2 linked regions of the Neurospora crassa OR74A genome follow. The protein of the gene in region 1 interacts with the protein of each later gene in a pairwise test. Links are inferred from orthologs where the notes say so. Each region holds a gene or a part of one and is shown on either strand. Other genes may lie near its edges.

Evidence for each region. The genes of interacting proteins can lie anywhere in the genome.
Region 2: the proteins of NCU09894 (region 1) and NCU09528 interact in binary tests that used the Saccharomyces cerevisiae proteins (3 or more experiments, as listed by UniProt). The link is inferred for Neurospora crassa OR74A from reciprocal best matches to the Saccharomyces cerevisiae genes MAK21 and NOP16.

The regions. Positions count from the first base shown.
Region 1 is NC_026501.1:3,985,640-3,989,686, reverse strand, and holds the start of NCU09894 (CCAAT-box-binding transcription factor), read right to left. Parts: upstream 2,801-4,047; 5' UTR 2,796-2,800; coding exon 1,989-2,795; intron 1,932-1,988; coding exon 255-1,931; intron 193-254; coding exon 1-192.
Region 2 is NC_026505.1:4,474,525-4,477,968, reverse strand, and holds NCU09528 (nucleolar protein 16), read left to right. Parts: upstream 1-1,249; 5' UTR 1,250-1,418; coding exon 1,419-1,534; intron 1,535-1,615; coding exon 1,616-2,198; 3' UTR 2,199-2,944; downstream 2,945-3,444. Other genes in the region: NCU09527 (hypothetical protein), read right to left, coding at 3,293-3,444. UniProt on the Saccharomyces cerevisiae protein: Involved in the biogenesis of the 60S ribosomal subunit.

The DNA of each region.
Region 1 (4,047 bases):
AGCGAGGACCGGCTGCATGATTGAGCTTCCGCGCTTGGTCTCGGTAATCTTGGGGTTGCGGTAGACAAACTTGTCCAGGAAATGCATGAGGCTGTGGTTGGCCAAATCCGGCTTCGGCAGGCCCTTTTGACGGACGAGAAGGTTACTGGCATAAACGTGTACGGATGGATGGAAATGAGATAGAAGAGGAGCCTGGTGGTTTTGAGGTTAGTAAACTGGTTTCACATGCAATCAGAGTTCAAATAGGCACTTACCAATTCCCACAAGCAGCTTCTGTGCGCATTGCTATGCTCGGGATTTCTCTTTCGTCCATCATATCCTGTGGCACGACGGGAAGTTGGTGCGTCTTCACGCAAGAGACTGCGCTGCAGAGCCGCATCATCATTGACATCCTTGTAAGCCTCCACGCCATCATCTTCATTCTCCTCGGGAACAGTAAGCAACGAATGAAGGTCAGGAAACATGTTCTCCAGCTCGGAAATCAGATATAGCACCCCGCATGCGAAGGACGGCTGATGCAGGTTAAGCACCTGAACCAATCTCTTGACAAAAGCCTTCACTCTCCGCACGTCGGCATCATTCTTCAGGGCTCGAAAAAGTAGATTCATGTACAATGCTTGCTTCGATGACGTGATGAGTCTGGGATCCAATAATGATTCGTACAATGTCCGATAAAATCGGTCAACAGCGAGATGTTTGGTCACGGCGAGCTGTTGAATGAGCATGAGTGCTTGCACGCTGGTGTTGAAGTTCGACGAGTGCGTGATGCGAAACAAGGTATCGAGATGTTTTTCCATGGTCTCATCGTCGGCGGTAGTGAAGGGTACCGCACGATTGACACCAGTAAGCAGTGCGGATACGAGTTTTTGTGTCGTATCCTGCTCGTTGGCAGAAGCCTCGGTGTGATTTCGCTTGCCCTTCTTAGCTTTCCTGTTGCTGCCGCCAGATTTGTCCTCGGAATTTAGCGCTTCCAGGTTTCCCAATGAGCCAGTTTTGAGGAGGGAAAGGAAAGCCTCGAAGTAGATTCGGAGTAGCGTGTTGGCTATAGCGGGCTCTTTGGTGCTCAAGATGGTTTGATTCAGGGTGATGATGGCGTAGTATTTGGTGCGCAGACCTTGGCCTGGCTTGAGCAAAACCTCTTGCTCTACCGTGCTGATGACAATGCTTTTCATCGCAGGGTGAATGTTGAGCAACTGCAAGAGGAGGTATGACGCCCGAGATGCAATTTTCCGTTCGCGATCACCGAGTTTGTTAACAAGAAGTCGCAACAAATTGGCCTCTTGTTCCGGCTTGTCCCGGAGCAATGTGAAAACAAATTCCAGCGCGCGCATTCTCGAATGCTCAATCTGATCAGTCGACCAGATTTCGAGGAGCTGGACAATGCGAAAATACGCTGCTTTGAGCCAATCCTCGTATGCCCACATCATCAGGTAAGAATCAGTTAGCTTGGCTGGGAGCTTCTGGCCCTGAACCCAATGCAGCACAGCTTGATCTTGTAAAGCGGCCAGCAAGGCGGGTTGCATGTTGAACGGACGAAGCCGGCGATTACTTGGCAGAACTGTGCCATTGCCCAGCAGATCCACTAGAGCGCCCAGGGCAGCGAGTGCCTGACTACGGCTTTTCTTGCCGGCCAACCCGATCAGGGTTTCAAAGGCTTTCTGGTTGTGGAGAGGAGACTCTTGTATCGACAAGGTTAAGGCAGATACCTTGTCGGATAAGGTGCCGGAAGACATAATGGTCGACATGAACTTCTGAGTGGAGCTGGAGGCCTGGAGGGCGTTGTATCTTGCCGCGTCCTCCTTCAAGAGAGCGTCCGCGTAAGCTTTGAGGTTGGCAATCGCTGAAGAATATTGCCTAACGTCGGCAGATGGTGTGAAGGCAGGTAGGCCCTCGAGGTCGAGAGCATGCCAGTCAGGTCTGGGCTCAAAACCCTACTCAAGTTAGCATACCGCCAGGTAAGTCTGCGGCAGCGAGAGCGTCGAACTAACCAGCTTGTTCTTGCCTTTCTTCCCGCGCAGGGTGTCTTGGGCGGTCGTAGTTGTGCTCTCACTTTTTACTGTGGCAGAAATGGCTAGAGGCTGTTCCTGATCCTGGCTGTCATCCTGTTTTGTTTGTTCCGCGTCGTCGTCCTCTTCTTCGTCGTCTTCTTCGTCTTGTTCCTCGTCGACGGGGTTTTCAGACGACACGCTTTCAAGGTCATCCTCGCGGGGTATGTTCTGGAAGCCCAGGCTCAAGGCGAACTTTGTCAGTTCCTCATGAAATGACTTATCCAGGGATTTTTCGGGCGCCGACGCAGATTTCATGCCAGGTCCCTCTTCATTGTCGGAATCAACATTGGCGACAAGCTCAAGATCATCCTCGTCTCCGCCCAAGGCCAAAATTTCCTCCAGCAGAACCTCCTTTGTTGCATTGTGGGACTGGTCTTTGCTGGAACGGTCCTCTTGTCCTTCTTCAGTGCCCAGTAGAGATTTCTGGCGCCTCTTTGCATCTCGATCATCAGCTGTGGTGTTCGGTCTCTTGCGATTTGGTGACGCGTGTTGGTCAGTGCCGACGCCAGCGAGAGTTTGGTCGATCTTTTCGGTCAGTTGAGCAAGTGCTGCTGCTTCGTCGAAAGCCGGCCCCATGCCTTTCCTCTTTCTTTGCCTCGGTGACTTGGATGAGCCCATATCTCCTAAATCCGTCGTTGCCGAAATCAATGGACAGCGGGCCGGCACAATGTGTCTCGAGGTTGGCTGTTGGTGATGCAAAATAAACCATCTACGAGGAAGGGTTGGAAAAAAAAATGCTTGGATCATGCACCTAGCGGACCCTCGTGCGTCTTGCAGGAAGAGTGGAGCAAGTGGAGGTACAGATGTACACAGTACACTGACAAATCTCTATGTACTATGCAGTACTCTCCAAACCTCGGCTGGTTCATCATTGGCGCGGTACTTCGATTGACACTTTTTCTTATCAAGTTTCATTCGGTGGAGTTTGGCGATGCAAGCCTGAAATAGTGCTAAAAGTGTTAAGTCCTACGCTGGGTAATATTTGGAGAAAGTCTAATCGTACAGTTAATATTGTCTATCCGTACGGTGGTCTACTTTTGCTTTATTAAGTATAACTTAGTAAAACGGAGACTAATGAAACTGAAAGTGGCACCAAACTATTCGTTCATTTTTGAGGAATTTTTTAAGGTAGGTACCAAATCTATATCCCTAAGCATCATGGAAAAACTACCCCTTAAGCCTTTTTCATCTAAAATCTTATTAATTATTTATTTATAATAGCTATCTTCTTTGAGAGTTTCCTAGGGCTACTAGGTAGGTCTGGTCACTCCAAAAAGAGTGTTAGATAGAGTAAAAGATCAGAAAAAATATAATGCATTTTGGTAAGTTAATACTAAACTCTATTAAGTTAGAAAAAGAATATGAAAGTCTATTTTTCATTACCGTACGGATAGATAATATTGACCGTACAATTAAACTTTTTCAATATTTGATTTAGAATTGAATTGTACAATCTAACTTTAGTGTGTTTGTAGGTTTAGTACTAAAAAAAAGCCAATTTCTACTCTAGAGCCAGCTACCAAATGTCGAGGGTAGGAAAAACGTTTGAACCTCATTCAGACAGGTACTAAAAGGGGACTACTCTCTCATATCTTCCAGTCTTGGAGGTCCTAAATGAGACAAAGAGGGGTATAAGAAGGCTTCCATAGCATTTTCCACCCTGGCTATTATTATATAACGCTTCCAACAGAGGCCCTTTTCTCTCTTTAAAGGCTAATAGAAGCTTTAAACAATTTCTCCTATTCAACGTATAGCTAAAGAACCAAACTAACAAACAAACTAGTATTAACTTGTAGAAGGACCTACAACTAGGAGTTTAGTGCCCGTGGGGTATATATTGGATTTACTAATGAATCCCACTCACCGGACACTTCTATTTATAGTAATGTGCCTCGTAAATGCTAGACCTAATAAATGCAAATACTTAACAAATACTAGGAATTTCACTATATGTATTATTTTAGTATAGTATACCTACTAGCTGCTAAGTGCTAGCCGT
Region 2 (3,444 bases), on another chromosome or scaffold:
TGTCCAAGTAGTACGTACATAAGTACTGAGAGGTATACCTCCTCGCCGCTACCACTCCCCACATCCCGCTCGACATGTATCCAACTACCCCCTCATTTCGACTAAACCTCATGGCTAACGAAGTCTACGCCTAGACTTAACAGGAAGGTGACTATCCCAAGCATGGCCCCCCTCATCAAGTTCTGAATATCTCCATGTTGCATTGAGGTTGGATGGGGTTGAAGAAGGAGGGGGAGGTGGGTAAGATGTTGAGTTCTGCTGCGAACTATGGGCTGGGCGTTTGAAGAGAGAGGAGTTGGGGAAGAAAAAGCAAGACCTCGGTCGCTGTCTAGGTACTTGTATAGGCAAACGTCTAGAACACCATGAAAGACAATTGGCTGGCCACTACAGTACACCTATGTATGTCGAACGGCTTCCCATTCTGCGCAGTGTTCTTCCGGGCTCTGATGGGCATTGGCCGGCATGTAGCAGGGTGATGATGACCGAGGCACTTGAAATGAACATGTCAACAGTTAGGTCGCATACTACCGAATGTCTTTGGAAGTACAAGGCTGACATTTGAAGGCGGGTTGGATTTGAATAAAAAAGAAATGAAATTTCAGGCATGACCCGCGTGCCTGCGTCGAATGGATAGTGGCGGGGGCCATGGAGGGTGTTTTGGGGATGGGATGAGACGGGAATCAAGTTGCCCTACCGGAAAACTTGCAAAGTGCGTAGCTAGTTATTTAGCAATGATTACAAGTCTGTTCATATCTCCAATGGGTAATGATCATGGTGACAATGGTGAGGTGGTGACTGGCGCGGCCGCTGGCGCCTCACCAGTTGCGAGCAGAACAAGAAGCCGCGGCTATGATGGCCGTGAAAGTTAGGGTCCAATTCCGAGGAAATAGTCGTTAGGTAAGTTGCCATCATCACCCTTGGGAGAAGGATTGTTGATGAACGAACTGGTGACGGCAATAAAGGCAAGCAAGATACAAGAGGATTAGAAACGGAACCTGAGGAAGCGGTATTTATGTACGTGCTTACATACAATACACCACTTACACTACCTAGGTACACACTTACGCAGTAGGGACTGTATCTTTATTACGGCCCTCTTGCCAGCTGGCGACTGGACTGAGGGAACGTACCCAAGCTTGCCAAGTAACGAACAACCTGTAAGGTCGATAAGGGACAACAGCCCCACTATAATTCTCTTATCGGACAGGAGCCATTGCAGTTCCAGTTCAATCGAGTTCTCTGGGGTGGTTTCCCCCGAAATTTTGGTCAACTTCCGCCTTCGTTGTTGTTGTCGCCGTCATCGTTCTTTGCTGGTTTACTCCCATTTCGCCTTCTTCTTCCCAGCATCTTTTGGCAGTCGAACTCCTGTCCTTTCAGCAACACCACATAGTACCTACTTCCCGAAAACCACAGCAACAATGGGCAGAGAACTTCAGAAGCGCAAGAAGCGCTCGTCTCGCGCCAAGGTCCAGACGCATACCATCAAGAAGAAGGTCTTGAACCCCCAGGGCAGCGGCATCGTTGCCAAGGCCTGGTAAGTACCTTTCTCTTCTTTTTGTTGCCAGATATTCGAGAGGAGATTCAGTACTGACATGCAAAAATTGATGTACTACAGGAACAAGAAGGAGACCCTCTCACAAAACTACTCCCGCTTCGGTCTCGTCGCCAAGCTCGGCACCGCCGCCGGCGGCATGGCCAAGAAGTCCGCCGCCGCCAACTACGCCGGCATCACCAAGGATGATCCTTTGGCCGTCAAGTCGGCCGATCGCGGCCTGTTCGAGGTCCGCGAGGTCAAGGTCGAGCGTGACGCCTCGGGCAAGATCGTCAAGGTCCTGCGCTCGGACAACCCGCTCAACGACCCGCTCAACGAGATCGAGTCCGACTCCGAATCCGAGGAACCCAAGCCCAAGAACCCAACCCATGATATCGAATGGCACGGCATCAGCGACGACCGCCAGGAGATGATTGCCCAGAGCAGCCGGCCCGAGGTGGTCCGGATGCTCGAGGAGGAGGCGTCGCGCCCTGTGGAGAAGACGGTGCGCTACCAGAGCGAGCGCGAGCTAGAATGGCTGCAGCGACTAGTGGCTAAGCACGGCGACGATGTAGCTGCCATGGTGCGCGACATCAAGTTAAACCCGATGCAGCAGACCAAGGGCGACATTACCAAGCGGTTGAGGAAGGCTGGCTTGTTGCAGTAAAGAAGCGGACGAAGAAACGAGGGAGGGGAAGAAGGGGGCAAATTGCATGCGCGAGTGTGATGTGAACTTCATCATCACTGGAATGTGACTGCTTCTTGCAAGGGGATGTTCTTGGGATCACCGGTGAGCTCGGTTTGTGGTCTGAAGATAAGGGTAGAGATGAGGGAGCCTGGCGACAAATGCCCGGACCCATGTCCAGTCTCGTCCTGTAAGCTGGGCTACGAGAGTCGGCGGGAGGGAGAAAGAGCGACCCAACACGGCTGATCCTTCAGCCGAGATGGCTCTGCTCGACAGGTCTCGAAAGAAGAGAGCAACGGATTTTGTCTTTCTCTCTTTGTCTCTCTTTCTCTCTCAGACTGGTATAATGCCAGTTAGACTCTCCCCGCTGTCGCCTCATCATACTTCGCTTCAGGGGGCGACCCTCTCGTGGAATGGGGAACTGGCAAAGAAACAGGTGACGGAGCTACTTCGGCTCGCGCTCCCTTGCTCAACGGTAATGAGCAAAAGCAAAACGGATGATGGGACGGGAACCAGGATTTCTTGTGCAGCATACATACTATTCATTAAGGCCACGGGCGTTTTAGGCGTTTCTCAAAGTACATGAAAAGAATTAGGGCCATTGAGCCATCCACATATATCGTATCATATCTTGTTTGTCACCTAGAATCATGTTCTACGTAGATCTCCACAAATATGGGAGAGTTTAATAAGAATGACACAGATACAAAGCATTCCATGAAGCCGATATGAGAGCTTTGTGATTCATTGTTGATGCACGAAGATATCTCTCTCGTTTCTATGCATGATAAACCAACAAGGACCTGTGACGCCTCGCCAACGACACCCCATAAAACAAAGCCTACACACATACATACACAAGAAAAAGCCCAAAATGTTTCGTCTAGTGCCAGCCAGCCCCCAATAACAAAAAAAAAGAAAGCAGGTAGCCAAGACACTTTGTACATGACCTAAGCATGCTGCAGCGTATAGCTACCCGGTATTGCATCCGCTTCCAGATCCAAAGTCGATCAGTCCAGCTCATCCATATCCCTTGACTTGAATTCTCGACCCTTCTGTTTTTTTTAATCCCATTCTTACACATTCCCCCGTTCGATTCCTACTCGGCCGTAGGGCGCAGTGGGAAACCTTGCCGATGGCTCATCCTCGTAGTCCCCATCATGCACACTAGGCGGCGCGTACCTGCTGCCGCCGCCGACGGAGGATTGATAATCGTTATCGTTGTCAA